Linked DNA regions of Drosophila melanogaster. The protein of the gene in region 1 purifies or fractionates together with the protein of each later gene. This does not show direct contact. Each region holds a gene or a part of one and is shown on either strand. Other genes may lie near its edges.

Region 1 (16,872 bases):
CCCTTTAGGTGGTCCAGCTTGCGCTTGCAGATCTGTGTGACGCTCAGCTCATCATTGATGCTCTCCTCGGCCTTGCGCTTGAGCACCTGCAATTTCTGCGCTACGTTATCCACCAGCTTGGTGACCTCGGCCAGAATGGGACCCTCCTCTGCTTCTAGGGCCTTTTCCACCTGACGCGATACATTGATCACCTGGTCCACCTCCCTGTCGATGATCTTCTGTGCCGAACGGAAGCGCTTGTTCAGCATCTCGTATGGCACTTTTAGGGTGGCGTGCTCCAACGCCTTGATCTCGGACATTTTTGCGTTTCGGTTGCGATGCAATTTGGTTTTATCCTCTTTTTAGAGACGCAATTGCGTTTTCTTTTCCTTCTTTGAATTGCTTTGTTTTGCTTCTGTGGGCTAAGAGTTGCCAGACTGTCAGCAGTCAGCTTAATGAGCAAAAGGTGCTGTTCAGTTAACTATTTTCTAACGCTAATTATATGATTACTAATAGATGTATATGAATATGATATATAAACAAAAGTGCGTATATTAAAATCTTATTGATGGTGTCCTTCTAGTGCCGGGATGCATAGCAACCGATTTCATAATGTTTTAGAAGTTCTATAATATTTAAATAAATTTAGCTATACTTCTGTGTGTTTTCCCGTTAAACTTCTAGGCAGCTCTAGCAAAGTGTACAGCGCTGTTGCCGCACTGTTAACTAATAACAGCTGATTGAAGCCCAGTAAACATAAACAAATGTTTTTCTAAACATTTTTCTAACGAATTAAAGATAATAAATATACATAATCTCCTTGGGATTACATAAAGACTAACTTGGCAAAGTAAGTAATTGAAACTATTACCTTACCTATATGGCAAATGAAAACTAATTTTAGATGGTTAAAGCAACTACCAGAGGTGCGACTTCCAAAGCAACGAAAGCTGGATCAAAGGGAGCAACGAAGGGAACCAAGGATAACTCCAAGCGATATCGTGACAAAATCAAAAAGGATCCGATTAAGTATCAGGAATACCGAGCCAGAGAAACCGAGCGAAGTAGGATTTATCGCAGCAAACTGAAGGAAGTGGTTAAAAAGAACAAAAAAGTTTTAAAAACAAAGCGAGAAACCGACCGACTTAGACAGCAAAGATATCGGGAGAAAAAGAAGGAGGAGCTCGCCAATCAACGATCATTGGAGGAAATGCTGAAGAAGCTGGAAAAGTCACTCCCAGCCAAGATGTCCCGAAAGATTGAAGTGATCAAGCTATTGTATAGCAAATACGTTGAGCCTGAAGTCAAGGAATCCTAAATTCCTTTGATTGTGGTAAATTCTGAAATCTGGAAGAGCTGTCTTTAGACAAATATAAATATCTACAAGATTAGGTTAAGTATACATTTTTTTAATTATTAAATGGTATTGCCACATATCTAAAGGGATTGTTTAATGTCCCAATGCAAAAAGTACTTTTTGAATAAATCTGAATAATAAAAAGTATTTTAAAGCAAATAATTTGTAAAGATACTATAGTTCAATTCACGAGGCAGTTACTTTTATGGTATGATATTAATAATTCATTTCGTTTCATTTCATGAAAAAGTGATCTGCAAAATTCTCACAACTCTTTATGGATGATTCATTTTGACCATACACTAGCCGGCTCACTCTAATTTCTTGCAATTAGCATTACGACTAGTTGGAGTTCGAGAGTTGACCTAATGTGCTCCGCCATGTAATTAATACGTCTGCTGGAGGGAAAAGTAATCACGAGTCCATGCAAAATTGCATAGAATTAACCTCCTTTTATGGTACATTGACTTTCGTTCACGTTCAAGTGGGCCCCGATAATTAGTCATAGATTAGGTGTAGCCGCCCAGGTGTACGTGCGAAAATTGAAAATCCATGAAAACCTGACCCATGTCCGCAGGCCAAATGCTGGGACTTTGGTAAGTAATTTTTCATTCCCGGGAACGGAAGTTACTCATTTCGGGTAAATTTGGGACACGTGCCGTGCAAAAACGCGAAAACAAACAAATAAACAAACATTTTGTTGGAACATATGTCCAGGATGTGAGGTGTAACTAGTTGGATTACAATAGTTCGACATGAAAGTGTTGGATTTTGTCAGCATTTGAAATTGAGAAAATTAACGTCCAAATACTTTGAAATATATGTTTATTACATTTGATTTAACTAACATATTTATTGTGAAGGATCTTTTTGGACTATACATTTCTACCTGGCTGCAGGAACCTTATCAAGATCATCCTAAGACTTCCCTTTCCCAAACGGAGCATAACCAATATTTAAAACCCATTGCATCCGTCCTTCACAAGCAGTGATTATTCCCAAAAGGTCAGGCGCTTACATCGAGATTTCCCTAATGACAAACAATTGAAAATTGCATGTCTGAGAAGTCCTGGGTTCCTGGGTTCTGAAAAATTGCATTTTAATAATACAACCGGCGGGAAGGCGATTAAATTCAGGCACTTCTTCAATTTGAATTCCAATTACAGAACGTCACTCAGGCCGACTGACTTATACACTACCTGATCCACTTGACAAGTTCACTGCTCCTGGGTGACACAAAAACTTATTAGAATAACTTAGTGAGCTGCATTTGCATTGCCATGGTTTTTGCAGGTGTCCAGTTGGTGTCGAGCAAGGACTCCATGCCCGTGGAGAACCCGCCTGGGGAAAGGGTGGGTCAGTTCGGATGGTGCTAGCTGCTAACCTAACCAATTGGAGCTCGGTGGTAAAGCCGAGAGAGAGCCGAGCCGTTTGGTGATGTCATGGATTGCGTGCAGCGGAGCCGTCATCAATGGTCCTTCTCTTCGGGACCTGCTACTTGGGCAATTTAGTTGTAGATGTTTTCGGCCCTTTTGGGCTACCATAAGAAATGGTCGTAACCCATAATCAGTGCGGCTTAATCGTGTTCCACCGCCGGGGCAGCCTACGGCACTCCATCCCAGAAGTGGAGGGCACCTCCTGCTCCTGCCCCTTTCCTTCGCTGCCGTTTCCTTCCTCACTGACCACATTGCTTCGCTGGCCTGCATTGATTTTTTTCGCGCAGAAGTAGGTACTCCATTCCGGCGTTTTTCGGGTTTTTATGGTCACCTCTAGAACTTTCACTTTTTGATGTGCGTAAATTTGCATATTTGTCGGACGCCAGGAAGGGTGTGTGCACTGACCACTCCACTTCATCTGACCCGATCCCTTTCCTCAGTTCTTTTGGGTGAGTAATGAATAGCGTCCGATGATGATGACGCCTTGGATAATGAGTTTTTGGCTTCGCCTTTAGATAGGTCACTGGAAACGTCATGTATTCATCGAAATTAAATGGGTAGACATTAAATTTACCAATTAATATTGTTGTGATCCTCCAATTGTATGGCCCTTTCGGTAGAGTTTCTGGTTAGGTTTCCCAGTTAATAGCCTCATAAAAGATATTTTACGATCCTTTAGTTCATATGCATTTAGAATGCTTTTGTCTGAAGCGGCGACCATTTTTGCAGTTATTGAATGAAATGCGGCTAAAAAATAATTGGATTGTGTTAGCGGTATGACTTTTTATTGTTTTTCTGATTGCCTTACGCTTATATAATTTTAACAATTTCTTATGTAGGCCAAACAGACCAACATTACTAGTTGAATATGGTATTAGAATGTATAAAATTCTATGACTTTAATGTAGATCGTGTACAACTGTTTACCATCCAAACGACACTAAATTCCTCGACATTTCTCAAAATGTTGCTATAATTATAATTCCTTTTGGGGATTAAGAACCTTATGACGTCCTAACCTGACCACGCATGAGTTATTAAAATAAGTTCGTGAGCACCAACATTTCGTAGGTATTTTTATGTTTTCACTAGCCTGGCGTCGCCTTTAGTCCTTTTAGCCAACATGACATGCGAATTGGCCAAGACGAAAGACCCCCAAAAGTGTCGCCCCATTGCTAAAATCAAGGTGTGCATTAACAAATGAACTTGAAATAATCGTTATACGACTGGCCACCCATATATTTAGCATGCATTTAGCTGCATTCAGCTAGCTGGCAATGTGGCAATGTGGCAATGTGTCGAGTGATAAATTGGGAAAGTCATGGAAAGGTTATTTGGTCAAGACTTGGCCAACAGACAAGGCTAAAACAAGTAACAGCGGCTATCGAAGAGCTCGCCTTGCGGCGCATGCAACATTCGGGGGCAGGAGCTGGCAGTCCTTTAAGGACTAAGCCATGTGGTGTGTGCATGTCCTGGAACGCACGAAAACAAACTTGCATGCAGTGAGTGAGGTAAGTGAGTGTGTGTGTGTAGCCGCAATTAGACGTGGCCATAATGTGGAATTAAGTCCCTTAAATTGGCATTTTTTCGAGGGCCTAATGCTCCGCACTCTGAGTTATAATCAGCAGTAATATGATGACCTCTGGGCATGAGTGTACAGCTCGATGAGATTTCGTGAGAAAATTATATATCGCTGGTAGAAATTCTACAGTCGCACTAATTAATCATCAGTTAAGAGCAAAAACATGACGCCCAAATTGTTGAAAGCGAATTAGTTCTTTAATTACGGTGGTCTTTCGCATTTTCCTTGGAGAGGGGAGGGGGAAAACCCACTGGCGGCGCCTACGATTCGCTGCAGTTTCTGATTTGGCGAAAAGATTTCGTGAGTTTTCCATATAATTTTCCTGCTTGTTTTCCGTTTCTCTGCTGTGCCCGGCAACATTTATCAATAATGTCAAGAAATAAATATCCGAAATAAATTTCAGACTCTGCCGCATGGCGAATTGAATGGACTGGACTGGCTGAATAATAATTAAAGGAACTTATTTTTACATGTAAATATAAATATTTTCCATTCCGAATGACGCGGTGCGGCGGGATTTGCGTAAATGGAGAAAGTACTATGGAATAAATCATTGTCAAGTCGGCAAATCTAGAAAAACAATTACGAAATCCAATATAATTAGTGCCTTTTAACTTATTTAAATAATTTTAAGTACATCCAATTCTTTAAAATGACCCACGTGTCTTATAAATCTCTTCAATATCGCTCAAAATAATTTTTTTACCTTTTACAATTTTTGAAGAAAATCATAAAAATTTTCTAATATAAGTTAAGCAAACAGAGATATTAGGATATCTGAAATATATTTTCCAAAATTGGCTTAATGCTTTCCACGGTCCTTGAACCCGACCAGATTCGTGTCCCATTTAGTTATATCCACCGATTTTCGTGAATATATTTTCTGGACTTCCTTTCCGTTCGCTGTGCGTGTGCGATATAAATTCGCATTTAGTTGGAGAAAATTGTTTATGCTGTCGCAGCGATTAAAGCAATCGTTTATAAGGCGATCGAGAAGGCAGATAAGGAGCACCAGGACCCATATAGCCTGACATTTTCCACAATCGGAGTCGGAAGAGGGTCGAAAGTACATGAAGTGCAAAGGAATTTGTGTTTGGCAAATTGGGCGAGTTCTTCATGTCCCAACTGACCTCAAAGTGTTCCTCTTCGAATGGGTGGGTGTAAATTATTGGCTCAGTTTGAAAAGTGGAGCTTCGTATATTTAGACGATTGAAGCAGACATGGCCAAAAGTTGGGCATCCGTTTCTGCCTGTTCGATATCCGCCTAAATGGTGCCTTGCCAAATTGGGCTAAAGGGGCGTGGCCAGTCACCTTTCTTTTTTGGACAGCTTAGCTGCATTCTGCAGCTGAAAGTTAAAAAAGTTAAAAGTTGAAAGCAACAAGCAAGCCACTCTCATCTGGGCAATTTAGCAAATGTAATTAGGGCCATGCAGCGCCCAAAAGTAAAAAAAGGGGGAAAAAATAATCATAAACAACGGCAGGAGAAATTAGGGAGCGAGCAAAGAATAATGGCCAAAATAACTATTTGCCTTTGACTAACCAGTTTCTGTTGTTGTTTCGCCTGGTGCGTGCTAATGTTACACTTTATTGTTGTTGTGGCTGTTGCTCAACTCCGTGGGCCCCAAAAAGTAGGCTATGCAATGGTCGTATGCCTCTAATGCCTTCGTCATTATTATAGTTCCCACACACACACCCACTGCCACACACACACACCCAAGACGAGGACGAGGAGAAAAGGACGAGGTCGCCACCGCCAGCGGCTACAATAAAAACAGGTGCACGAAGGTGAGGCAGCTACAAAAATCCATCTTCGTTAACAAAACTCGCTCACGAAATACACAAAAGCAGCGAAACAGTTACAAGTGCGTCGCAGCTCACTTTCCATACACCATATAGCATATACCATATAGCATACGGCCCAAAACTAATCCCATACTGCCTGCGAAAGTTTCGAAATCTGCCCGGAGATTCCATGCTATCTAGCTTCTTGTCAGCGAAACATTGGTTAGGTGGAATACCCTTTGCCCACTTGGGGGATCTCTTAATTATGCATGCGGGTGTCTGTCCTTCTGGAATCCGATTTTATGGAATGTCCCGGAATGCGTGAATTCATTTCTACTCAGCCGCAATTGGTTGGACGTATGTATACTTGGTTGCCTACATCTAAAATTAATGTTTTATCATTTTGTGGGAAGCTCATTGCTGCCAATTTTTGTGTGCGTCAGCAGAATCGTTTCCCATAACGCATAAAAACCTGTATTGTTTAACTTGATATTCAGTTGTATATATTTTACCATATATATTATGAGTTATTTTTTTAAGAATGAAATATGAAGCTGTTGTTTTTAACAAACCAGAACTTCACTTCCAATTGTAGAGTATAGACTTCTGTTAAAATTACACATGTAACATAAGTACATAACTATATGGTATCTCAACTTCCAATTTACTAAAATAAATACAAGTATATTATGTATTGTTATTATACAAAGTATTAAAGAAGATTTGCTGAGTGGGAACTTAAGTATGATATAAGGGTATCTGGAAGACGACTATCATTCGCCGCCAATGTGGCAAAGGGGTTCTATGCCTGGCTGAGCAGGTGAGCGGACTGCGGGGGCGGTGGGTGGCTAGCTGGCGAGGAGCACTCAGATGGGTAGCAGATGGTGGCAGGTGGGAGGTGGAAGGTGGCGCCGGTGTGCGCGAGCGCCAAGTAGCCACCAGCAGCGACATCGCAGCAACTTAAGGTCCGTGTGCGCCGCGAATTCTTCACTTGCATTTCGAGCGCGCAGGCGACTGGTTGGAGCTACCCGTCCGAAGACCCCAAGTGGAAGTTGCGACTATAGCGAGTGCCCCAAAGTATTGGAGATTTTTTGGAGTGACGCCTCTCGTGCGGTTTTGTTTTGCTTCGGACTTTCTGGCGGAGCGGAAACGATTTCGGTGTGAAAATTTGCATAAAATTGTGCCCGCGAAACCGACATAGAAACGAAAAAAGCGTTAAGTAAACCAATTTAAAGCCTTTGGGCCGTTTTTCAAGCTCGCAAAGTGCGTGTGCAACCCGTTGCGGTCCTGTGGAATTTATATAAGACCCGAAAAAGGACTTCTTTCCGACTTCTTCAAGTCCTGGTCTCGACTCAAAACTCGATTAGTTACCGATTCCAAAATGCAGCCCCTGAAGCGCTTCACACAATGCGGCAGTCTGACCATGCTCTTCGGCATCTTCATCATCCTCTTCGGGGTCAGCTCCACGGCTCTGACCACTTTTGGCAAGACCAACAATCAGCCGCCTCCCACGCACGTCCCAATTGGTAAGAGAACCCCCGGGGTTGGTAACGAAAAGGCCCATCAAAGTCGCTGGCAAGGTCAAGAGGAGTTTCTTGTCAAGATTGGGCGAGGGATTAAAAGTGGTTCGAGTTTAAAAGTAATCGTGCAGTAATTTTGCTATAACTCGTACTCCAGCATTAGCCGATAAGTGAATATGACTACTATTACTATAACAATATTCATATAAGATTATTCTTTAAGAAAAATACCAAACAAAGAGATACATTAACTTCTGTTTTAAAAAACTGATTTTGAGTTAGAAGTTAACTATTTTAATGCACTTAACTTGACTCTCATTATAATGTGATATATACGTTGTCTTAGACCTTCCCGATAAAGCCCCACATCACTTAAGTTCGATTAACCGCTAATTAAGACACCTGGTCGTTAGCCAAACAAATAGCCAACCATCCAGTTTGTCTGATCCAATCATTTGTCATTCGATTGACTTGGTAGTCGCTCATAAATAAATGGAATAATAATTATGGCACAGAGCCAGCACAGATTGAACGACACGACACAGAACACAGAACATTGCTAACACAAATCGAATCGAGAATTGATCAAACAAGTCACTCAAGTGCAATGACAACCCACGCTCCACGAATCCCTGACATTAGGAGCGGGGGCGGTAATATCCCTGTGATTGGAGTTGGTAAACCGAAACGGATAGAGTAGATATAGATAGGCGGACAAGCGGTGATTTGTGTTGGCTCAAGTTGGTACCCAAATAATCACACAATTAGTGGGCAATTAGCTAGGCAAACTGGCTAGTTAAGTGTCCTTTTTTAACTTGGATTCCTATCATTAATTGCAGTTAAAGGACGAGAGTGCAGTGCCCACGATGATTGCACGGCGATAGATCGCACCAGCTGCGTCAAGGATCCCAATGACTACAAGCTGCGTTGCCTATGCGGCGACGACTCGCCTCCTTCGGCTGGCAGCTGTCCAGATGTCCTGAAAGGTAATGTATCACCTATATAGAAAAGTACTTACCCATATTCCCCAAGGATATAAATATACAAGTTGTAATCTAGAGAAACCACTGACACTTAAACAGCATTCCTAAAAATAAATTTTTCGCGGCTGATATGCTTTAGTTACTAGTCAGTTAGTTACTATTTATTTATGTTAAAAAAATTAAAAAATCATTGATGTTAAATATTAATCATAATGTTCTGTATCTCCGCTCCTTTGACCGCCCGCCTTTGCAGAATCCTTTAGCTCGTTTCCCGAAATAGAACAGCCAACAAAAAGTCAGCTAATTGCTAAGACATGCACATTACATTTATTATTTAAGAGGCCGCTGCTTTCTTGGAGGCCTCCTCCGTGATGAGCCAGTGCCTCAAGTGGCATGTGAGGTGATGCGTCCAAGGCGCCACCTAAATGAGAATTAAACAAAGAAGCATCCTTCCAGAATGGCCACCCCCAAAGCCCACTTTCACCTTTCTTCGCTATTTGCCTGCTTATTTATTTAGTTTTCCGTGCGCGATTCACACTTGCCTTCTCGGCATCCTTGGGTCATGTGCCCGCCATTGTTGGCCCTACAGTCCCTTGGTTCTTTGGTCCTTTGGTCTTGGGTCCTCTAGTTTCCCAGTTCTCCAGCCCTCCTCCAGCTCCACTCCAGTTCTTGGCGGGGCCAGAGGTGGACCGCTTTATGGCGGCGCAATGTCGATGTCGGATTTATGTTAGGATGTCGTGACTCCTCCGATGGGGCAACTCAAACGAGGCCCCAAACGAGAGGCAAATGGTAATGGGAATCGCCGCAGTGCCAATTTGTGACATGCACAGCCCAGAAGAAATGTTATACGCGATTTTTGCATGCACGTTTCCCCAGTTTTTGGCATTGGGAGTTGTTCTCCGTGTTGGAGATCTACTTTCTGGCGGGGATACATTGTAATACACCAGAGTATAGAATTTCCAGACTATTATAGGTCTGCATAATAGCGTTATTATAATAAAATGGCTGCTAAATGATACCGGTGTATTGAGTCGGTTTAAATTTAGTTATAAGCATGGAGTATAGCTAATTCCACTGGCGGTATGCTAATATCTTAATAATATTTGCGCATTTTGCAGGCCTGCGTCACAAGTGCAACAGCAACAACGACTGCGAGGATGGAATGGTGTGCCAGTACGAGAACAGCAACCGCACCATCGGAGTGGCCAAGTTCATGTCCAGCAAGACCAAGCTGTGTCTCTGCGACAACGACAACGGATATGTGGAGGACATCCTGCACGACATCTGCAGTGGAGGTGAGAGGTTTCTCATCCAATACATTCCATAACTATTATAACTATTGTCATAGTATTACAAATATAGTACACACAAAAATAGGATGTATCATGGTTCCTAATCCATCTTCTTTGCCTTTCAGCTAATCTTCAGGGCCTGGTCAGCTTCTTGGTCTCGATCTGCTCACTTCTGGCGCCCTTTTTGGTATCCGCCCACATGCGAAAGCATTTCTAGAAGGCGATCGTCGAAAGCGGAACCGGAAGACGTAGTTTGGCGTTTATCTACCCCAGTGATCCATCAAATGTGCCTCAGTGAAACCAACAGAAACAAAAGATCATCCTACCCCTACCACTAACCCCTCACATATAAAAAAATACGAAAAGTAAATCTTGAAAAGCGAAAAAAATAAGAGAAAATACGTGGAAATGAAATTAAGAAAGTTAGATACTCGTCGCCATTAGCCTAAAAGTCGTTCTATTGTATAAGTTTCATATGTACCACCGTCAAGTTTATTCGCTTCTCACGAAAAGTTGCGTTATATACAATATACATAATTATATTATCTGATAAACGTTTTCCATAGATCCCCAATCGAACTTAGTCCGTACTCCCTACACTAGACAGACCGAAGTAACTTTAGATCAAATGTTAGGCACCATTTTATTGTAATTTTATATGAGTGTACGTGTGTGTCCAGGAATAATCACTAAAAATCGAGAGAAATTATCTAGTGATAGGCAACTTTTCAGCAGCACTGTGAATTCAGATCGCTTACATCGCAATTACAAATGTGAAACATTTTTAATTTTTGTATGTATTCAATATAAATAGCTTTACGAGCTCACAGCCCATAATCGAATGGAATAATAATAATAATAATAATAATAAAATATGGGAGACGATAAAAGTTAATAATATTTTCATGTCCAAGTTGCAGGTCCAGATAAGAATTTCACCCATTAAAACCGTTTTCTTCGTAGCTGTTATCTATACTATTTAATAAAAACCTTTAAAAACCCAAACGAATAGTACTTTTCCATCAATAATGACAGAAATATATCTTGGTTACCACACGGTACTTTTCATTGGCAATCCAATAGGTCTGAAACATGTAGTTTCCTGTGGGAAAGGGCAGAGTTTTTGGTAGTCGGGAATTAATAGTCTCAGAGGTAAGTTTCTCCATTATAATGTCGTGCTAAAAAACGTGGGAATGATTAGTTGGAATAGGGAACACGATCTTTCTTACGTTGTACGGACAGGAATGATTCAAGTTGCTGATATTCCTTATAAAATCGTAAAAGTATTTGGCGACTACATTGGACTTTGTGTTCTTCATGAATTGGCAACCGTCAATAGTGATGTTGTATAGGAAGGGCTTATACCCATTGATCTGCTGGTGCAATCCAAAATTCACCTGAAATATAATAATTTTACTCAATAGATTGCTAAACAACTAAACTTGCTTAACTAACCTTTAGGCTGTTCAGTAATTTTAATACCTTAATCCGGGTGGAGAGGTATTGATAAGTTCGATTAACTGATTTTAGAAAACAGTATTCGATATCGGCCACGTCCTTAGCCATGGATGTGCACTTGAAGTTCGTGAACTCGATATGAGAATAAATCTGTGTTTTAGTGAAAGCTATTGTATATTGCCTATTAATTTGTTTATAACCTCTGACCTGGTTTATCATGATGAAATGCAATAGAAGCACGAAGCAAAAGTATTTTTCTAAGCACATTTCAATTCATTCGGATATCAAGTGAGACTGAAGCTACATTTTCATTATATCGGACTCATTGAAATCAGGAAAAAAATCTGAAATTAATATTTGGTAATGATTGCTTTTACCTTAATTTCTTTAATTGCTAGTTATATGCAGATAAGCCAGACGAAAATTGGATCCAGTGAACTGGAACGTACGCACTCCTAAGGCAAGGCATGTATTAGACAATAAACATACCCCTTATGATTATGAATAAGGAAATATTTACATAGTTGCAATATTTATGAAATCGATTTCAGGCCAGATAAGCTGTGATACTGACTTACTACGGATATGAAATCTACTCGTATTTTAAATTCCAAGGACAATTAGCTTCCCCCCCCAATAGAAATTCCCATTTCTAACTACACTTGCGTCTCCGTCCAAACGATCGGTTATCCAACCCAAATCGATTAAATGCACGGCATTGATTATAAATAGTTCGGTGTAGATTTAATGCAGCAGCACAGTTTTCAATATGTTAACAAGCTGGATATTTTGTAATGCCAACGCCTTTCGCTGGCCCCCATTCGCTGATTACTTTCAAATTTCTCGCGGAGAATCGGAGAATCGGGCAATCGGGGATTTGGTGAAAGAGCGCAGAGAAATGGGGGCTGTAGTGGAAGTGAAAAGCTCGGCGCGGGCACACAAAGCTCCACTCTCGGATCACAAAAACAAACAGCGCCACGCTCCCAAGCACAATTACACGATTGGTCTCCGAGAGGTGACAACTTCGAGGGCTTTTCGGCGATCCAGAGATCTGAACGGGCAGTTAGTTAGCCGTGTTTCCCTAACCGATTCGGCTGTGCCATCCGCAAGATCGCAATTTTCGTCGTGGAAACTTCAAGCCTCGAAACGAATTCGAAGTTCGCGTCTGTGCAAACAAATTATAAACGCACCATTTATGCTCGGACTTTATGGGTGCATTTCGGCAGTGATTTGCATGTGAATTCGGCATATGCCATAAAAAAAAGACTCCGAAAGTAGTGGCATATTCATATATGCAAACTTATAACTATTTAGAACCCACTGACAATGAAGAACTGAAGGAGGGACACAACTGAGTTTTTGAGGTGTGCGACGCGCGCCAAAGTCAAAGCCAACGAAATCACATTTCCGGTGGCCACACATCGTTTCAGCCAAATTCAATAGAGAATAGTGGAAAAAAACGCCAGCCAGTGGAATTTCAGGCGTAATTGGGCTATTTACGCCCCCCCTGCAAACCGTCGAAATAGGTAAGCCCATCGAAATATTTCCCCTCTGACATCAGAAAGTGACACTAAGTTATGGGTGGCCCTGACATATAGATCAAGGTATATATATAGTATTTGGTACTGAAAAGAGTGAGATTTCCCATTGCGAAAGTTTCGCATCGGATTTTGGCATTAGCACCTCTTTCAAACCAAATCCATTGACGCAGTCTAAACGGTCGATTAACATTTATCACTAAACGATTACTAATTTGTTTATGAGTCTCTCAAAACCAACGACACATGCTAATTGCCATTATGGGATCCCGAAAAGAGTTGCTAATTTTATGATATCCTCAATGAAGTGTCAATTAAATGAATCACTGAAAATATTTTCGTCATCTACGCATCTCGAAGTGCCTGAGTTATTAAATCAAAAGTAATAGTTCTGCTACCTAAATGGTGCATTCCAGAGGCTGCAACGTGGTAATTGCAAAAAGAACACGCGAGAATGGCAGTTAAAATTAATTTATAGATTACGTGACTTAAATGCGAAAACGTGCTCAAGCGGAACTTTGGTTAACTTGAAAAGTCTAAATACATTTTAATGTCAATTAACTATTTCGGCATTACAAAAAAGTGGCCTATTCACGATGTTGACTCCAAAAATCTCATATAATTGAATGCAATGATCCAGTATAAATACATTCAGAAATTATATTAAGGTATCTTCACACTTAAATTCCACGAATTGCTGCTCAAACTAGTTTATTTCGGTTTTAATTACCCATCACATGAGCTCGACTTGCATATCTTAAGCAAATATGCTATAGTAGATTAAGTGATGCTTAAATAAACAATATTTGGATGGATAGATAAGAGTTCGCTTCTGGTTTTCTTTGCTGCGTAATCGGTGGGGGAAACGCGTTTTGCATAAAAATTGCCAACTTATCAAATACTGCGCTCCATCAAATATGAACAATCGAGTCATAAATATTCAAAACAAACAAAAGCCGGTAGCTGTTCTCCCCCTAAAAATCCATTAAACCTGAAAACGAATGGTTAGTCTAACTTTGATCGTCGTCTAATATAGATTATGAAACTCGTTTTGTGGGAACATAAATTAAATTTGGCTTGCCCTGCGATTAATCATTCTTATAATCAAATAATAATCAACTAACAAGGAAATTGCATTGTGATTTTGGCACGTTGTTTCAATTACTTCTGCTGAATTTGTTTGCTTAAATTTTATAGAGTCGCGCAGGGCATCTTCATAAAAACAGAGTCTAAAGTCAACAAACTGCAAATTGAATTCTGGGTATATAAACAGCATATATTCGGACAGATTCAATTCGCGTGCCTTTGCGATTGACTTTAACAATTAAGTCTTCCACGAAAAAAGAAAAGAAGCTACAAAGAAAATATTGAATAACAAGTACAACCTATTTTTAGATTTTAAACAAAGAAAGGTCTCAAAAAGAATTAACATCTAACTACAAATTGGTGTACTTTAAATCACTCTGTTTGTCTTCGAACTTTAATTTTGTGTGTTAAGCATTAAGTAATCTGTCCTCTCACGTTCTCTATTTTAAAATAATATTTATAGCCATCTAATAAATTAGTCAGCTTAATAAGCCCTTATAGTTTTCTTTTGTAACTACAAGTCGTAAATCCTTTTAGTAATTCCCCAGCGAGATCGTAAGTTATCTAAGCCAAAGCCATTGGGTCTGCATGCGGGACAACGTGTTGTATACGTGATTTCCGTGCAACTATCTGCCAGCCTGCGAAATCCAAGTGTGTAAAGCCCCCTTATCCGCACTATATCGTGTTAAATACAGCTTTCGGATATATTTAAGCCACATATATAGACAAAAACAGCCCGAATCGAAATGGTAAACAAACCAAACGCATTTCATTGAAATGGGCGACAGTTTGTGGCTCGGATTCGATTCAATGTGATTGTGCTGCGATCGACCACGCCCCCCGCTGTTCGTTACGCCCTTTTGTGGGAATTTGGCTGTCATGCGAAATGTATTTCGCAATTGGCCCTGTAATTTCAGTTGAGCGAAAAAAAAAACAAGCCAGTGAAAAAAGGGAACAGCAAAAACGAATTCAACAAATGTAATTGAACAATTAATCGAACATTTGTACTTCCTGTTCGGTTGGGCTTATTAACTCAATTATGGAGTGACAAAAATAAATGTATAAAATCCGAAATCTAATGCGGCTTCAAAATTCCATAAAATATTTTGCCACATTTTCGAAACCCAAGGGTCACACACCTGCTGTCGTGCAAAGTTCGAGCTCGTGTCAATGGGGCAAAATGTGTGTAATACTTAAGTGCGAATATGCAAACTTGAATTAAATACACTTTGAGGAAGCTTCAATTTGATGGCATTTAGCACAAATTTTGCAATGCGTCAGCCTCAGTCTTCACACCCACATTTCGCTCACTTTCTAATTGTGCGCTTAAATAGTTAAAAATAAACCAAAACTCAAGCCCAAACCAAAACAAATAAGACAAAGGGAAACGCCCTCGGATGTAAAATACTTTCGGTGTGAGAAGCGCCAGCTTGTTTGACATCATCCAAAATTAGCAGACGACTTCGGCAGCTGGAGAATCCCCCCAAGATCACCGTCTGCCATCATCGTTGAGGTCCCCGTATAAAACCAGTTACCGGCATCTTGACGTGTACACTCATTAAAAATTATGCTATTTTGCCAGCTGACTGATACGCGTAGTATTCAAGTCATTTGACTGCGATTAGGAAACGAAATGCACAACGGAGAAGGCAGAACGAAAAATACCCAAACATTGAGTGGTTTCAAAACGTGGAAGGCAGTTAGAGCTCTTAAAGATCGACTACGGGAATACCTCATAGAAAGTTTGAGTACTTCGTTTTTAGGTAAATCACCCTTTCATTTTATAGTTATCTCTTGGTAACCGCAAACCTTAAGTATTTTTATATTTCATTATAACATATTATTAGATATAAGATGTCATATAAGCTTTTTAAATAGTTGGTATGAAATATAGCACCGTCGCTTGCTTTGCCAATTTTGATCTTGGCCGGGCTATAAAGACAGTGATATTTATGGGCTTTTAACACTAACAGCACGTTTCAATTAATTTAAATAATTCCATTTGTCACAGCATCAGCTGTCTAGGAAGTTTTTTGCGATATTCGCTTGAATTTCGATGTTCATCTTGAACTTCAACATAACTTCAATCAGCATAAATATAGAAAGTTTGCGATCGGCAACTAAGGTTACAATCAATGCATTTCAAAATAATTTGTTCAAAGCGTTAAGACACCATTGATTTCCATAGAAACACAATACGACCCCAAGCTGTGCATTTAAATATTTATTTACCCATGACATTTTTTGGTCTCACCTTTTGTTTGGTTAGCAAAGGGTCTATACGTTTATAAAGTGTCAAGTTCATTTGGAAATATTCAGAATACTTGCACTACTATTTGTGGAATGAGCTGGGGCTCCGATTTTGTTACTTCCTTTAATCCAAACAAATATAGCATTTTATAATGATGTCTGGTACGGAGATGATGATATTAATACAAGTCAGCGCGCCGAAGGCAGATCAATTAGCCTTGTCGCGAACTCATTGATAAGGCAATATCTCATTAAGCGTACCTAAAAATATGTTAATGTTAATGGCATTTAAGAGATGCTCGATAACGCGGAGGATAAAACCCAAAAACAGGCAAAACTACTCCATTTGGTAGCAGCATGGGGTGCAGGCATCCGAATGCAAGATCAAAATGCAACATTTGGGCAGTGTCTCTTCGTCTGCAGTCAGTCGTGTTTGTGGCCAAATCTGGTTTTTCTGAGATCTTAGCACCTGACTGCCAGTGGTAACCCCCGGCGACTAGAAACCTCCGAAAGACAACAAAAGATTATAATGACAAAAAAAAAAAAAAAAACAGAAGCATCTACCTGCTGCTGCAATGAATGGAAATTTTCTCCCTAAAAAAAGTCCCG
Region 2 (16,733 bases), 1.6 Mb from region 1:
TTCGCACAGACCATGTGTATCTGCAACTGTTTGGGAGGTGGAAATGACGGCGTTGCATTGCGTTGCGTTGGCTTCATGTTACATTTTCATGTAACTTAATTCTTGCATTAAAATGCATTCATTAACCGTTGCCTTTGTTGTTTGTTTTGCGCTGCTTTGTTGCATTTCCAACCGCCGAACAGTCACCGCAAAATGTATCCGCCCCGCATTCAACTCTCGATAGAGGGGAAAATATTTCATATAGCTGACCTACCGCACCACACAAAAGAAAATAATAAACATTTCATTTACCGCACAAAACTTTCCCCATTTGAAATGAAGTAGACAGCGCCCTTGGCAATGACGGGAATTTAAAACTCACCATTTTCCTTTCACGAAAAATATTTTATAACAATCAACATTTCTGGGAAATTTTATCTGGCTAGTGAACACAATCTACTCATGTTTCATAAACAATCTTGTGTGACAAATAGGAAAACACCTAAAATCTGAGGTTCTCTTAAAATAGACCACTCTTAAGCAAATTATTAAACTGGTTATGAAAATTCCTAAAACTGTTGCGATAAAGCATTTAATTACAGAAATAAAAAACTGTTCATCAAGGCAAATAAAATTTAAATTAGTCGCTAGTTTATGAACAATTCCATTCATGCGGCATTTACGAAACATAATTTATTTTTCTTTCTCATCCGTATACTTGTTTGTATATTTTTAAAGCAGCCAATTTAACGAGGTCTTAAAATATTTTTATGAACTTTCGTGTTAAAAGTTTTATATAGGCTAATTAAAGTTTTATTGGAATTTTGTATGTATTTTCAAAGGCTATAACAAAAACTAACTTATTTAACAGCTTAGGAAATCTTTTGAAATTTATGGATAAGTACTTTTAGTTCTTAACAAGATTAATGACAATTTTTTTAAATATTTGTAGCCTACTCATTAAAACAAATGCACTTGTTTGCGTTTACATTACTCATACGATGTGAAATACGTAAAACTAATATGGGCTTACCAGAATTCAACAACTTGAATAAACCATTTTTAGGAGTTGAGAAGCCAGCTCATAGAGTTTTTTGCTGGCAAATATGACTCAGAGGCCGATCGAGAAGATACTGGGAATTTTGTAGATTACGCAACGCAATGAGCAATGAGAAATTTCATTTGGCAGACCAATTTGTTCTTGCCCCCGCTGCTAAATTGTATTTATTAGTTTTTTGGTTTGATGCGTTTCGTTTCGTTTCGTCTCGGTTTTTCGGCTTCAGTGGGTTTTATGACGGAAGCACTACTCAAGAATCGACTTCAGTTCATTGAAGCCAATTCGAGAGCCGTTTACGGAAGTTTTTGGCGGGGTGGGTCCGAAAATAACCGATTCGCTTCATTGCACAAGCCCCATATGCTCTCCGATGTCTTTCGAAAAATAGTACAAAATTGTTAATTGCCCCGGGATGGGATGGGATGGGTTCGAAATATATATAACCTAGAAGACCCTCGACTAAAGTCTGCCTCTGCACTCCACTTTCAGATGAAGTCCAATACGTACGAACTGCACAACTACGCCGATCTGAATGACATGGCCAGAGCGACGGACTCCAAGGATTCGCGCAAAAGGAAGACGGCCAGTGCTCGGGGCGAGAAGTATTCCCTGCGACAGAAGCGACAAAAGAGGGGCTCCAACGAGGATGGGGAGTCAGCCAACCTGGCTGACTTTCAACTAGAATTAGATCCCATAGCGGAGCCGGCTAGTAAATCGAGGAAAAATGCACCCACCAAGTCCAAGACGAAAGCACCGCCACTGAGTAAATACCGTCGGAAAACAGCGAATGCCAGGGAGCGAACCAGAATGCGTGAGATCAACACGGCCTTTGAGACACTGAGGCATTGTGTTCCCGAAGCGATCAAGGGCGAGGATGCGGCCAATACCAACGAGAAGCTGACCAAAATCACCACCCTGAGACTGGCCATGAAGTACATCACCATGCTGACCGACTCGATTCGAGATCCCAGCTATGAAAGCGAATTTATAGGGGAGTGTCTGGAGGAGAGTGCCAATCGGGAGGCGAGAGTGGACTTGGAAGCGAACGAGGAAGCCGAGGTGGAGCTACCCGTTCCAGTTGCCAAGAAGCCAGCCAAGACAAAGGGCAGTGGTAAGAAGAGTTCCGCCGCGAGCAAAAGACAGAGCCAAAAGCAGGCCAAGATAGTGCCCCAGATACCACCGATAAGTTCCGGTGAGTCGTGCTACGCCACCTCTTCGATTGGATCGCCTGCCTCCTCCGCCTACGCATCGCTCTCCTCGTCATCGAACAGCCACAGCAGCAGTAGCAGTCCGGGACTGGAGCTGGACAGTCTGGTGGGATTGAACGGAATCAGCGCCCTGGACTCTCTGCTTCTGGATACCTCCGATGGGGATTCCCTCTCCTGTCTAAGTCCCGGCTATGGAAGTCTACTCACTGGCAGCGGGGAATCCCTGTTGCCCGGTTGCCGAGGTGATCTGCCCATGTCGGGTCTGGAGAAGTCGGATGTGGAGCTCAGTCTGCGATTACTGGACCAGAGTTCCAAGGATTCCTTCGACTTTGCCAGCGATCAGCAGCCGTCGGCCTGTATTAGTTCGTTCTCCGCTCTGGATGGGTATCCATTCGACCTGCTGCACAGCGATTTTCCGGATATGTTTCTCACGTGACGCGTATTTCTTAGCAACCCTAACTACTCTCCTTTTAAGCCTAACCCTCGTCTTAAGTTAGAGTGCGAGTTTTAACCCGACTTTCACTATTAGCCATTACATGCGATGCGCCATTGAGGCGGAATTCATTGTGTCATAGCAAGCAGCTGACAGGATAAGTATATTCACATCCTGCGAAGGCAAAAGCTGCTCACCGCCACATCCACATGATAGCTCAACTCAACTAGTGATTTAAGCATTTCTTTGTGACGCATTTCTCGTTATCCTGTAAATAAAGCACCCAGTGTTGATTCAAACAATCTATTCTGTGATGGGATTTTGGATCCTTCAACTTTCAGAGATATGAAACAGAGTAGACTCTTAGATTATTAGTTTTAAATGGAGCGATTCTGAAATTGATATTAGGTAGCCGCAATATAAATCATACCTTATATTTGAGATCAATAGACACACATCGAAATGGCAAACACTTTTAATCCTGAGGAGGACTTTCCGGAAGTCTACAAGGTCTGCAAGTTGTTCAATCCGAGCATAGACGATCTTGAGAAGATTAAAAACGCAATGGATCGTGAGATTACGATGGGTCTGAGTCGCGATCATCACGATCGTTCGACCGTTCCGTGCCACTTGAGCTATGTACAGGATTTGCCAACGGGCAGGGAGCGTGGTCAGTTCTTGGCCCTGGAGATGATGCCCACTAACTGCAGGATAATGCTGGTGAAGTTCAGCAGCGAGAGAGATATCTACACCAGTTCCAAGTGCGTGATTATGCCGCATACTGTGGCAGCGGGTCGAGGAACCGAGGTCTTCACCTTTCTGGCCACCAGCATAGCAAATTTTGTGAAGGAGAAAAAGGTGGACAAGGACAATCTGCCGCTGGGCATAGCCTTTGCCTTTACCCTAAAGAAGTTGGCTTTGGATGTGGGTATCCTTGTGTCGTGGACCAAGGAGTTTGGAGCCCAAGGCGCCATCGGCAAGGATGTGGTCCAACTGCTGCGCGATGCTCTGGCCAAGTTTCCCGAAATCTCCGTCGATGTCATGGGTATCATCAATGTCGGAGCCGGTTCGCTGCTGGCTCTGTGCTGGGCCCAACCGGATACCCGAATTGGCTTGATCATGGGCAGTATTGCCAATAGCTGTTATGTGGAAAGGGTCGAAAGGTGCGAAACGTACGAGGGTGATGAGTACAGAAAGCTGATGATCATTAACTCGGATTGGGCCCATTTCGGGGATACTGGGCAGTTGGATTTCATACGTAACGAATACGATCGCCAGCTGGACACCGAGTCCATAAATCCGGGCACTCGGATCTATGAGAAGTTTAGTGGAGCTCTTTGCATGGGAGAATTGGTTCGCATTATAGTGCTTCGCCTGATGAAATCGGGCGCCATCTTTGCCGAGGACAGGCGTGATTACATAGGGATCCAGTGGAAGTTGGACATGGTGTCGCTGATCGAAATCGTCTCGGATCCGCCGGGTGTCTATACGAAGGCACAGGAGGTGATGGACAAGTTTCGCATACGTCACTGCAAGGAACGGGATCTGGCTGCCTTGAAATACATCTGCGACACGGTCACAAATCGTGCTGCCATGCTGGTGGCCAGTGGAGTTTCCTGCCTCATTGACCGCATGCGCTTGCCACAGATCTCGATCGCCGTGGATGGCGGCATCTACCGCCTTCATCCGACCTTTTCCACCGTTCTTAATAAGTACACCCGTTTGCTAGCCGATCCCAATTACAACTTCGAGTTTGTCATCACCCAGGACAGCTGCGGAGTGGGAGCGGCCATAATGGCGGGAATGGCACATGCCAACAAGTACAAAACGGACGCGAAATTGTTTACTATGGACTACTAGATATGCATAAATAAAATTTTTATTATGTCTGCTTAAATACAATGACAACATATACGTTTGAATTTTCCATGTTGTTAAATTTTCCATGTTATTCAACCAGAACGTCCAAAGCAAGAATTGAAATTTACCTCATGAGAAAGTCAACTAGACTTTTAACTCATTCTCTATTCGGCCCTGTATTTAAAATTTTGTTTCATAACAAAACAGTTTGTGGAGGCTGTAATAGGAAAATGCCGAGCCTGGTGAACACGGAAATTGAAGCCGCGGTCAAGGGCTTCCTGATCGACCAGGAGAAGATGACCGAGGTGGTGGAGCGCATGACCAAGGAGATAAAGATGGGCCTGGCCAAGGACACGCATGCACGAGCGGTGATCAAGTGCTTCGTCAGCCATGTGCAAGATCTGCCCACTGGCAAGGAGCGGGGAAAGTATTTGGCCCTGGATCTGGGTGGCTCTAATTTCAGGGTGCTTCTGGTGAACCTGATTAGCAACTCGGACGTGGAAACCATGTCGAAGGGCTATAATTTTCCTCAAACTCTGATGTCCGGATCGGGAAAGGCGCTTTTCGACTTCCTTGCCGAATGCCTGTCGGAGTTTTGTCACTCCCATGGCCTGGAGAATGAATCACTGGCTCTGGGCTTCACCTTCTCGTTTCCGCTCCAGCAGCAGGGACTCTCCAAGGGTATCCTTGTGGCCTGGACCAAAGGATTCAGCTGCGAAGGCGTGGTGGGCAAGAATGTGGTGAGTTTCATGGCGTTCAAACTATTTACGTGTGGTTCTATTAACATTTATATTTAACAAATGAATTTCTTTTAATATGCATTCCTAGGTGAGTCTTCTCCAGGAGGCAATCGATCGAAGGGGCGATCTAAAGATCAATACCGTCGCCATTCTCAACGATACGGTGGGCACTCTGATGTCCTGCGCCTTCTATCATCCCAACTGCCGGATTGGATTGATCGTGGGAACCGGCTCCAATGCGTGCTATGTGGAGAAAACAGTAAATGCCGAATGCTTCGAAGGATACCAGACCAGTCCCAAGCCATCAATGATAATCAACTGCGAGTGGGGCGCCTTTGGGGACAATGGTGTTCTGGAGTTCGTTCGAACTTCCTACGACAAGGCAGTCGACAAGGTAACACCCAATCCCGGCAAGCAGACGTTCGAAAAGTGCATATCGGGCATGTATATGGGTGAACTTGTACGTTTGGTCATCACCGATATGATTGCCAAGGGTTTTATGTTCCACGGCATCATTTCCGAGAAGATCCAGGAGCGATGGAGCTTCAAAACCGCCTATATTTCCGATGTTGAAAGTGATGCACCTGGCGAGTATCGCAATTGCAATAAGGTCCTTAGCGAATTGGGCATATTGGGCTGCCAGGAACCCGACAAAGAGGCCCTGCGATACATCTGCGAGGCGGTGTCCTCCAGGTCTGCCAAGCTATGTGCCTGCGGCCTGGTCACCATTATCAACAAGATGAACATCAACGAGGTGGCCATCGGCATAGACGGTAGCGTGTATCGCTTCCATCCCAAGTACCACGACATGCTCCAGTACCACATGAAGAAGCTCCTCAAGCCGGGCGTCAAGTTTGAGCTGGTTGTTTCGGAGGACGGATCCGGAAGAGGAGCGGCTCTCGTGGCGGCCACCGCAGTCCAGGCCAAAAGCAAGCTCTAAATTCGAAGTTGATATTCTTCAAATGCATGGGAAACGTTACGGACAATGATATATGAGCACAAAATTATGGAAGAAGAAATAAAGATTTAAGGATATAATGGGAACTTTTAATATTATCCTTTCAAACTTAAAATTGTGTCCAGAAATCCGATTTGAATTATGGCGCCAAAGATATAATAATTTTCTGCCTTAGTGGCAACACTGCACATCCATAGTATTTTTTAGTACATGCAGTATTTTTAGAATATTTATGGAACGATAGGGATGGGGTAACACTATTTTGGTATAAAAGCCAACTCGCCATCTGGTAACACTTGGAGTTTGCAAACATTTATCTCTCGACCAATTTAAGGAATTTGAGGCAATTAGGGCATTCCTGTGAGCTTTTCCAGGCCAACTGCGATTACTTCAAGCCAAGACAAACAGGTGGGTAACCAAGCAGGCCGTGCCCCACCGACCAGACCAGCAAAACACCCCCATTTCGGGCGGTGCTGGAAAAAGCAAGGCCAGCTGTCCATTTGGGATTTGGACACTCCACTCTGAGCATCAAGATGATTGCCCTTAACCAAATGCATCGGGCGCTGCAGAGCGAGGCCATTAATGCCATTATCCGCCTTTTCAGCGACAACATGTCCCAAGGCGGTGGCACTACTCCAGCGGGCGGTAATCCCACAGCGCTCCAGGCGACCGGAGGGGGCGTGGTCTTCAGCAAGGTCTTCATCCAGCGCGATTACAGCGAGGGCACCTCCGTCAAGTTCCATACACGGCTGCCCGCTGAGCTGGAGGGCATGGTGACTATATAATACTCTATATTATCTGTGGGATTATCATCCGAACTCATATCGATTCTCGTGCAGATTGAAAGACACGTCTTCGAGGCCACCATCAATAGGCTAAACGAGTTCTACGCCGAGGCGGAGGAGGGATCCTGCGGCACCTATTGCGAGGGCTGCATTGGCTGCATCACGGCCTACTTGATCTATATGTGCTCCGAAACGCACTATGAAAAGGTGCGTCATTTGGGTTTGGATTACACACATGTGGGTCAATGCAATAGAGTCTAGTTCCACTAGGGAACTATTAATAGGGATTAGAGTCAACAATTTCACAAATGTCGATATGCGATCGTATAAGTTATCAAAGTTATTCTCGTTAATGTCCTTGTACTCAAGGTTTTCATATCTGTTTAAGGTATAAAGGTCAGAGAACTTGATAAATCAAGTAGTAGTATTACTTGCTAATTAGTGATCGTGCTATCTGTTATACGAGTTTAAAATAAGGCAGTGGCACTTCCAGCTCTATTGCCTGCACATACTAATGCTCTTTCGCCCCCACAGACCCTTCGCAAGATATCCAAATTTGTGGCTTCCCAAAATGAACGCATTTACAACACCAAGGGACTGCAGCTGATCGATCCCACTTATCGGGGACTTCGCGTCATAGAGATTACAATATTCGATCGTCCGGGGCGAACGTGACTTCCGCTTTCCCATTCAGCCAACGAGTTTTTCATGTGAGATCGAGCAGCTACAGTCGCATCAACAGGCATGTGAAGGAGAAGAGTCCGTTTCAGCAATTATCAAGCAAAAGTCAGCGCCATCAGAGTGCGTTTCCAAAAATATAAATCAATAAAAAGCTGTGGAAGCAGCTAAAGCTTTATAACCTATAACCATATGTGTGAGTATCTCAGATATTCCGCACTCAATTGCAAACTGAACTAACTAACATTTACTTTCGCATCCTTTCAGCTTGGCAAAAGCAGTGGCCAGAGCGTTTTCGGGGCATGCGACTTAGTCACGGGTGTGCTGGTAGATGTGCCTCCGCTGCAGCCACATACTGTATGCTAGATTAGCCGTTAATGATTAGCCAAGGCAGTGTACGGCCAGTTAGTTAGTATTTATGCAATAGCAGGCATAGTCATGTAAGTGAAAAGCTACCGAAACTGCATTTTGAGCCGAAGCAAGAAGCATCAACATATACACACATTCGCATATGTTACAATTGTTTTATTAATCGGACCGAAAGGCCAGCGAGAATTGATTGTTTTGTAATTTGAAAATGAATAGAATTGTATACATCATGTTTGTAGTAGTTGCCAACAATTCGATTGTCTAATGTTGTAATTTCAATATGGCATTAACATTTGCATAAATACACACACACATAGTTCAAGCTTAATCAGACATAATGCATACGCATAACTTTTTCTATACAATACTTACCGATTTCAAACAGCGCCAAATGAACTTACACATAAATCGAATCGAGAATCGTTCGATATTTAATATAAATCAGCAACATTGATTAACATAGTTATATATCTTATAAGAAAAATATATATATTGCCGTCATTTAAACGCGCCTACAACTGTTTTCCTGCGGCGGGTAAACATCGAATTGGAAGCAAACAAGTTAAGCAAAATGTGGCGTGCAAAATTTGTTTTTGCTGATTTTCAATTGTATTTCGCTATTTACTTATCATCTGCGGATATTTGTTATTGTCTGGCGTAGAAAACTTTCGTATATATAAAGGCCTCTAAAGCCTCGTCTTATACATTCACGATTCTTGCAAAGCCGCACAATGAAGCTAAGCACTTATCTATTGGCGCTCGTCCTATTCGCCGGATTCTGCCTGCTGCAGCCTTCCTCAGCCCAGACCAATTCCACCACATCCACCAACACCACAACCACGGAGGCAACCACAACCACCACTGCCAAGGCCACAACCGTTCATAGGAAACATTTTACGATCCGTAATCTCCACTATAAGACAGTGCGCAGGATCCATGTTAACAAGAAATCTGGTTAATAAGATCTTTAGCTTACCAAACAATGGCGAATAAAAAATACCTAAAGAAAACACATTTCTAATAATGGGCACAACAATTTATACTTCTACATACAGATCTTTTTGTCTTTCTGTTTATAAGTGTGTTTTTTATGAACATACTTTAGTTCTCATTTAGTTTACTTTCTACGCATTTGTTTGCCAAGTTCATGGCCAAGTTCCTTAGGTTTTGACTGCTTAGATATAGCATAATAAATGAAGTCAATAAACGAAATGGGGCTGCTATTCTAAGCTAGAAACATCTATTTATTCCAATCGTAGCATTGAACAAAATCTACTTTGAGAACACCTTTGGCTTTCATTGGTTCGCCCTTTACGGGGATAACCAATATCTTTAACTAGCTTTAGTATCTGTGATTAAGAATAAAAATCCTGACTAGTTGTTGTACCAGATTTCAAGTCGAAACAATCCAGAAAACGTTTATTTCAGCAGTAAGCCTAATAATATACAACATTTCTACAATAGGCTACTTGTATATTTTTCTATTTAGGTTTAAAGCAACAAAAGTTATACGGTCTTTTCTCTCTATTAGATGACTACACCGGCTTTTATCTGCGGATTTTCATTTTCCTTCGACGCACCAAAAAATCATACTATAACATCAAATAATAAATTCTTGTCCAGGTTCCATCTTTCAGTGGTGGGTCGTCCTAATCCTTCAGCATTTTCCGTTCTTACTTGCCCGCATCGTTCATGTTCTTGGGCAGACTCAACAAGGAGTTGATTAGCTCCGAGTTGCGCTTCCTGATGGGCACGGATGGGCCCAAGGAGTTCTCGAGGATCAGCGGATAGCGACAGAGAGTGGCCACTTGGCCGGGACTGAACTGTCCCACGCCCACGTTGTTGAACCAGTCGAGGAGATCCCGATTGTACTCCTTGCGCACATAGCGCTCCTCATCCGGCATGGCCATGGCGCCGCAGTATCCCCACTGGCAGCAAATGGCCAGAAGCACAAGGGCGACAAGGTACGTGTAGCGAGCCATTAGTCCGAGGAGCTGGAAGGATGGCCAGGAGCAGGAACTGAGCACGGAACACCTGCAGCAGGAGACTTGCGAATGAACGTCGGTTGGCGCATCCTCGACTTATATAGCAACCTGGACTGGATAACCCACTGCGGGAGACCGCCCGACCACGCAACCCAAGAGCGTCAGTATCGGTGTCATCCGCAGGACCAATACATGTCATCCGCAGGCAGCGGCGGTCCTTTAGCCCAGGCAAATACGGAGTCGAGTTGGAGCCACGCAAATATTTGGTTATGCAGTGTTTTATGTGCCAACATGCAGGCACCAAATCCCATTCAAGTCCAGCGATATTTGTACGGGAAGGCAGCTCACTGGCGACTCCATGTGGCACTCAAAAAAAAGGAGGATACCCAATTTAGGCACTTCTTTAAACCAACTTATTTATTGGATTTAAATAATATACGATTGCAGACAAAATTGCTGACCTTCCATTAAAACGAACCTTATTTGTGAATAATATTTTGCTCAATTCGTTTTCTCTCTGTGTAATTGTGTGATTAATTTTAGAACGAAGCTCGTAAAAATACCAATCTTAAATATATATAAAACTTAATAGCTAGCTCGGCAGTTGGGCCGTTTTGCGAAATTCCAGCTTGTTCCTTTGTTTGATCACCAAACTGTGTAAATATGGCCAAAAAATTTCGCGCGGACGTAATTGGCGAGAGCAAAATGCAAATATTTGCTGAGAAATTCCGCCAATTGTCTTGGTCACATATAAAACTCCCAGCCTCCGAAGTGGTAGTTCATCCGAGCAACGGCATCACCGAGCACACCATGAAGACAGGACAACTGGCACTCCGAATCCTAGCGATAAGCCTATGCATTTGGGCAACCAACGCCTCATCGCCAACCACCACGGAGACTACGACGACCACGACGGACAGTGACACCACCACCACGACGACAGCAGCCACCACGACCACCACCACCGCGTCCTCCTCCTCCTCCTCCTCCTCCTCGAAGGTCCATCGCAAGCGGTTCAGGATCAAGAACCTCAAGTACTCGATTAAGCGCAGGGTGCGCGTCTACCGTGACACCAGTGCCAGTTCCACTTCCAGGAACAGGACCAGGAATCGCTCCGGAAGGCGGGTCAGTGTGCGCAGCCTCAATAGGCTGCTGCGACGCCGCAATCAGGGCTAGGTTCCAAAATCCACATCAAGTCATATCCATACATGCAATAAAAGCAATTTTCCAAAAAAAAAAAACATCTGAGTATTTAAAACCATAAGGATAATAGAAAGGTCAGTACTAGAACGTGTGAAAAGCGAAGGATTCCCCAATGGTTGTTGCACATGTCGTATGCGTAATATATGCCAAATTACTTACCTTATTTGAAATTTTCTTTGTTCCCATCAACAGGTTGCCCCTTCTAGCATGGCTGTGCCCAGTCACACAACGCACATCATCCTTTATTTATGCCTGTTCAATGACTTCACGTGCGGCAAAAACATTGACCCAACTCCGCCCCCCAACCAATGGGCAAACATCGGATATATCTCGACGGGGTAGGTTTACGATGACTATAACTTTCCATGCAGCCACATTACCCAGCAGTTTGATGGCCAAGGCTCGGCGTCGTTCACTCCGACGATTTGTTTGCACTGCATTTGTGGCCAGACCCAAAATCCGGTGGGTGGAACGCGGACTCCGCGTTTATCGTCCACCGTTTGCCGTCTTAAAAGTCAGCTGAAGCATTTAATGGTCGTGGTGTGACTTGGAGGCACACATAAGTGAAACACGCATGGGTTCGATTTCGGTTGGGAAGACATTTCCAGGAGCGTCTTGGTCACATCAGAGTATAGAAAGTAAATGAAACTTAATTTCCCATATATTAAAATGGAAAAAAAAGGTTTTAAAATATATTAAGAAAGTTATTATTAGCTAGAATTTATTTAAGATCCATATTTTTTACTCTCTCCTTACTATGAAGAATCTTTACTTTTCGGTCTGCAGTTCGTCCCTGGACAAGCCGAAGATGATTCGTCCTGAACGCACACACAGGACATCGGGACGGGGGTCCGTGGCCATTCACCAATTACGCGCCATTCGCGGCTGTGTCCTTAATTTCTTAAAAAGCGTTTAAACATCTAATGAAAGCATTTGGGACCCCGCGATTTCTGCTGTCAGTTGCGTTTACCTTTTCGCCGTGTGCGGTTCGCTTCGTCGGTTCGGGTCGATTTGGTGGTATTCCTCGGTCCTGATTATCCGAGCTGCAGGAAGCGAGCACGAGAGGATTATGTCATTGCAGCCATGGCCAAGATAATCTCGACGATCAAGGCCATCCTCACGAGGATCATCTTCAGTGCGCACAGCCTGCTGGCCATTTGGCAGGTGGTGGCTTTAAAGAGTGATATCATATACTGGGCACTATGTGGACCACTGCTGTTGCTGCTGCTCGAGGGCATCTTCACCATCATGATCAAGAAGACGCAGGAGTGGCGCTGGTAAGGATGAAACCCACGGATCCTGGCTACCCCAGGCATCTGATTAAAACTCCCAACTCGAAATGTAAACAACAGTCAGTCGATGCTGACGTCATGCCGCGGGGTTTTGATTTTCAATTAAAAGTGAAATCATGTGTTTAATGTGTGCCTAACCTGGCCACCCACTTTCATAGAAACCACCAACACTGCGGCCGCACCCCCACACTCAAAAAAAAAGTAGCCACGATTTCCAAACAACACAATGTAGTTTACATAGGATTTTTGGATAAAAATATGCATATGAATTGAATCTAGAAATAGGAAATCCTATGAATTTTGTATCTTAAAGCCAATTTGTATTATCATTTCGGGGTGTACTTTTTTTCAAGTGTAAGCTGTCCACCTCACACTTTGTACTAGTAAAAACTTTAATGGAATTTCGTGGGGGATGGAGTCTTTTTGACTCTTGTTTACCTTTCGTCGCATCACTCAGACTTGTTGTTTGTTTTGGCCGTTCGGCTGTGCCACCTCATTTGTGTCCTTTGTCCGCAGGTTCTGCCCCTCGGTTTTCCTCTACCTGAGCAGCATTGTGCCGGCGATATGGCTGCTGGAGCTGGACAAGGTAGCACGTCGGGTGGGCAACATGACATCGACCAACTCGACGGTCTACAGTCCGAGCAACTACAGCATTCCCGTGGGCAACACCACCATCTTCATCACCAGCACCAACAGCAGTGGCGTGCCACCGGTGGCCACTCTGCTGGGTCAGGCCGGGGTCACCCTCTCGGTGACCCCGGACACTTGGACAACCCTCATCGAGCAGTTCCTCATGCTCATCCTGATCGTTGGTCGCTGGCTGCTGCCCAAGGGCGATCTAACCAGGGATCAGCTCAGCCAGTTGCTCCTGGTCTACATTGGCACGGCGGCGGATATTATTGAATTTTTCGATTCCTACAAGGATGACTCGATAGCAAAGATTGGATTCCTGGTCTTCCTTACACTGGGCATATGGTCCTGGAGCCTCATGCAGTTCACCATCGTGCTGTCCGCCACTCGAGGACGACGACCACGAGGCAGTGGATCGCATCACAAGGAGGAGTGCGTATATTTAATCATTTTATTATTAAAATGTAAATGATCATGGGAATCTTTATTCTGCAGACATACAGACTGTTGCCAGAACTGTTGCTGTGGCATTGATGTTTGGGGCATCGTACTCAATGTGATCCTGCAGGATGCGCCCTTCCTCACCTTTCGCCTGCTGATTATCTTCCAGTACAAAATCATTAACTACATGAACGTCTTCTTTACATGTACGTATTATAAATATTTTTATGCGTAATTTTATTACTTACATATATGTTATTAGGCAAAAACTCGTTGGTGATCATCCTGCAGCTTTATCGGCTATATGTGGTCAACGCCGAGTTCTGGAAAAATCGGCGTGAAAGTCGAATGGCCAAGTCACGTCAGTTTCAATCTCGTCGAAAAGTGCAGGATGCTGATCAGAACAGCATTTACATGATATCCAACGAAAGGGGTGGTGATGTCAAAAAGAAGATCAAAAGGTAGGTGTGGATGTAATTTAGATCCTTAATGAACTGCATCAACTATTTATAGGGCCAAGGACAAGGACTATGCGGAGCAGGAGGCGGTATACAGTAAAAAGAAGAAGGACAAGAAGGACAAGTGGGTCTTGAGCTCAACTGTGACATTAAAAAGAGAATTTAGATTAACCCACTGATTCCAGGAAGAAGCGCAAACGCAAGGATACTGGCTACTCCACGGCCAGCTCGCAGAATCTGTACTCCACGAAGGCGAGTGGCACGGACAAGGACACTCGCCGCAAGGACAAGAAGGGCAAGAAGTCCAAGCGCACCTGCAGCAGTTCACCCAGTGACTGCGACTTGGCCAAAAAGCAGAAGCGCAAGAACGCGGATAAAAACGATAAGAAGTAGGTAATATCTCGGGACTTGGCTGGTTATCCTTTGACTTATGATCCGATTTCCCGCAGAAAATCCCGCAAAATTGAGGCAGTCGTGGAGGAGTCGAGCAGCTCGAGCAGCAGCAGCTCCGATTCCAGCAACTCCACTCTGCCCAGCTACGAGGTCATCGACGAGAAGAAGGCCAGGCGCAGGAAGCACCGCGGAAGTAGTAGCGACACCAGTTCCGGGGACAGCAGCTCCTCCAGCTCCTCGTCCTCCAGCTCGGACTCGTCGTGAATGAGGCACTTTTTTGGCACTAACGCCAGACGTTAGGGAATCGATTTTTTTGGCAGTCACTTGCCAGCATTCAAGTGGCTGCGCCGCTGCTCCGGGAGCTCAGATTTGTAAGACCCCAAGGGGCAGGTCTATAATTTGATTGCAAACACACCGAGCGTTAATCATGAAAATACCACATGCTTACGCTTTTACATTAAAATGTTGTGAGATACAAAAGAAACTGCAGTGAGTTTTAAATACTTTTGAAACATTTATCTCTTCGCATTTCTGCATTATCTCTTCTGCATTTTGCACAACATTTTTATTACAAATTTGATGTATAATTTAATAGTGCTGAAACTCTGTGCTCCTTTGAATATTTTATATTAATTAACATGACATCTGCACGAAAATATTTTAAGGCTGTTTGTAGGCTTCCAAATAAGCTAGCATTTGCTATTTTCTTGATTAGTGCTCGATATATTTTGATATATTTGTATAAGCTACACTATGGCATATTTGAATGGATAATAAATACGCGGGCTCCACAGCGATAAGTTGGCAGCTCCGTTGGCATTAAAATGGAGCTCTCTTGATTAAATTTTCAACGTGGGGAAATTCTCTTAATGCTTTCTCTTTGCCGCATGAAAAGCTTAGCAACGCGAACTGCTGCTAAACTTTTGTTGACACACAGTTAGCTGTGATATTTGCCGTGAGTGTGTGTATGTGTGTGTGGGGTTTGGGGGGTGGGAGGGCTCTAGTTGGAGATTTCTCGAGAGCGTGTATTTTTGTAATAGCACAATAGTTGCTGCCGAGCGTCCAAACGCTGCGGACGCGATTTTCGCTTCGCTCCTCTCGGATTCGCAACGCTTTTCGAAAAAACCTCGCGTAACGCCAGAAGCTTTGTTGTTGTCGAGTGTGTAAGTTCAAGAGTGTGTATGCGAATGAGTGTGTGTGCGAGTGAGCGTGCTTTGTCGGATCCATCGCATATATACTTGATATATAGACGCACGATAAATGCCTATTAAGAAATGTTCTTCGAAAAGAACTCTTGAATATATCTGCAAGTGCCGTCTCTCAGTGCCCATCAATAAATCACGGCAGCTACATAGCATATACCATATACCCCTCAAAAAAAAAAAAACAACAACAAAGGTTCCCTTTGGCAGACTTTATTAACTATTAACCGGACAAACAAAAAACAGTTGTCAAGCCGATTAAAATTTAAATGGCTATAATGTGGCGCAGGTGTGAATTTTCTGTCTTTTTTTTTTGCTCTGTGAATAATTCAATTAATACTTGACAAACCTTTGGCAAATGGACTCATCACAGTTACAGTGCGAATTGCCCCGACAAATTGGCTCACCCCACACACAAATTATATATGGTATATATAGACAAATATATATATGTATGTATATATACATACAAGGGAGTGCACTGGATAATCTGGAACTCGAAACACGTTCGCGGCCTTAAAGTTCACAAATTATGGCTCCTTTTCCGATTCTTTTCGTTTTCGTTTTCATTTTCGTTTCATTACCTCTTCAAGCGCATTTTTATCTGGGCACGCGTAGTGAAGGTTAAGGCTTCCGCGGCTTAAAGTTACAACTCCCACGCCCCCTCAGCACGCCTAGCCCCCCTTGGGCACCACCCCCCGCCCCCCACACGTGTTGTTTTGTTTTCGGTCGTTGTTGTTTTGCGTTTAAGACACCTTAGTCGTCTATGTATGTATGAAGAAATACAAAACCACAGCGGGCCTCAGCAGCTTTTGTCCGAGAATAATCCCGCTCTTTGGGGGAGTCTTTGAGACAATGATGGGGCTCTCTGCTCTCATTTGCCGGTTTTCCACTGAGAGACCGAGTGTGAGCAACCGCGGGAAAAGCAGCGAAGCGAGAAGCTCTCTTACAGAGAGAAAAACAAGGAAAACTCGAACTCATTTGCATACGCGGGTTTTTTCCTTTTAAACAATTTGTTTATTTAACGATTTAGCTATGTACAGACAGGTTAGCTAAAATGAATCT

Evidence for each region.
Region 2: the proteins of Esp (region 1) and CG5447 purify together in Drosophila melanogaster (affinity purification with mass spectrometry, with the first as the bait; one large-scale study listed by BioGRID). This does not show direct contact.

What each region holds. Positions count from the first base shown.
Region 1 is NT_033777.3:24,829,556-24,846,427, forward strand, and holds the start of Esp (epidermal stripes and patches), read left to right. Parts: upstream 1-12,379; 5' UTR 12,380-12,915; intron 12,916-16,872. Other genes in the region: Kaz (katazuke), read right to left, coding at 1-299; CG43273 (uncharacterized protein), read left to right, coding at 884-1,297; sosie, read left to right, coding at 7,518-7,662, 8,496-8,642, 9,758-9,934, 10,057-10,148; CG33658 (uncharacterized protein), read right to left, coding at 10,954-11,109, 11,161-11,328, 11,387-11,608.
Region 2 is NT_033777.3:26,446,018-26,462,750, forward strand, and holds CG5447 (uncharacterized protein), read left to right. Parts: upstream 1-6,516; 5' UTR 6,517-6,640; intron 6,641-6,836; 5' UTR 6,837-6,843; coding exon 6,844-7,005; intron 7,006-7,071; coding exon 7,072-7,224; intron 7,225-7,551; coding exon 7,552-7,692; coding exon of another isoform or gene 7,693-7,731; 3' UTR 7,732-7,891; intron 7,892-7,962; 3' UTR 7,963-8,568; downstream 8,569-16,733. Other genes in the region: tx (taxi), read left to right, coding at 1,523-2,677; Hex-t1 (hexokinase testis 1), read left to right, coding at 3,137-4,534; Hex-t2 (hexokinase testis 2), read left to right, coding at 4,666-5,274, 5,363-6,214; CG43117 (uncharacterized protein), read left to right, coding at 8,796-9,023; Pdf (Pigment-dispersing factor), read right to left, coding at 9,738-10,046; CG14237 (uncharacterized protein), read left to right, coding at 10,860-11,225; CG14238 (uncharacterized protein), read left to right, coding at 12,336-12,529, 13,061-13,606, 13,670-13,821, 13,878-14,076, 14,129-14,197, 14,259-14,462, 14,523-14,730.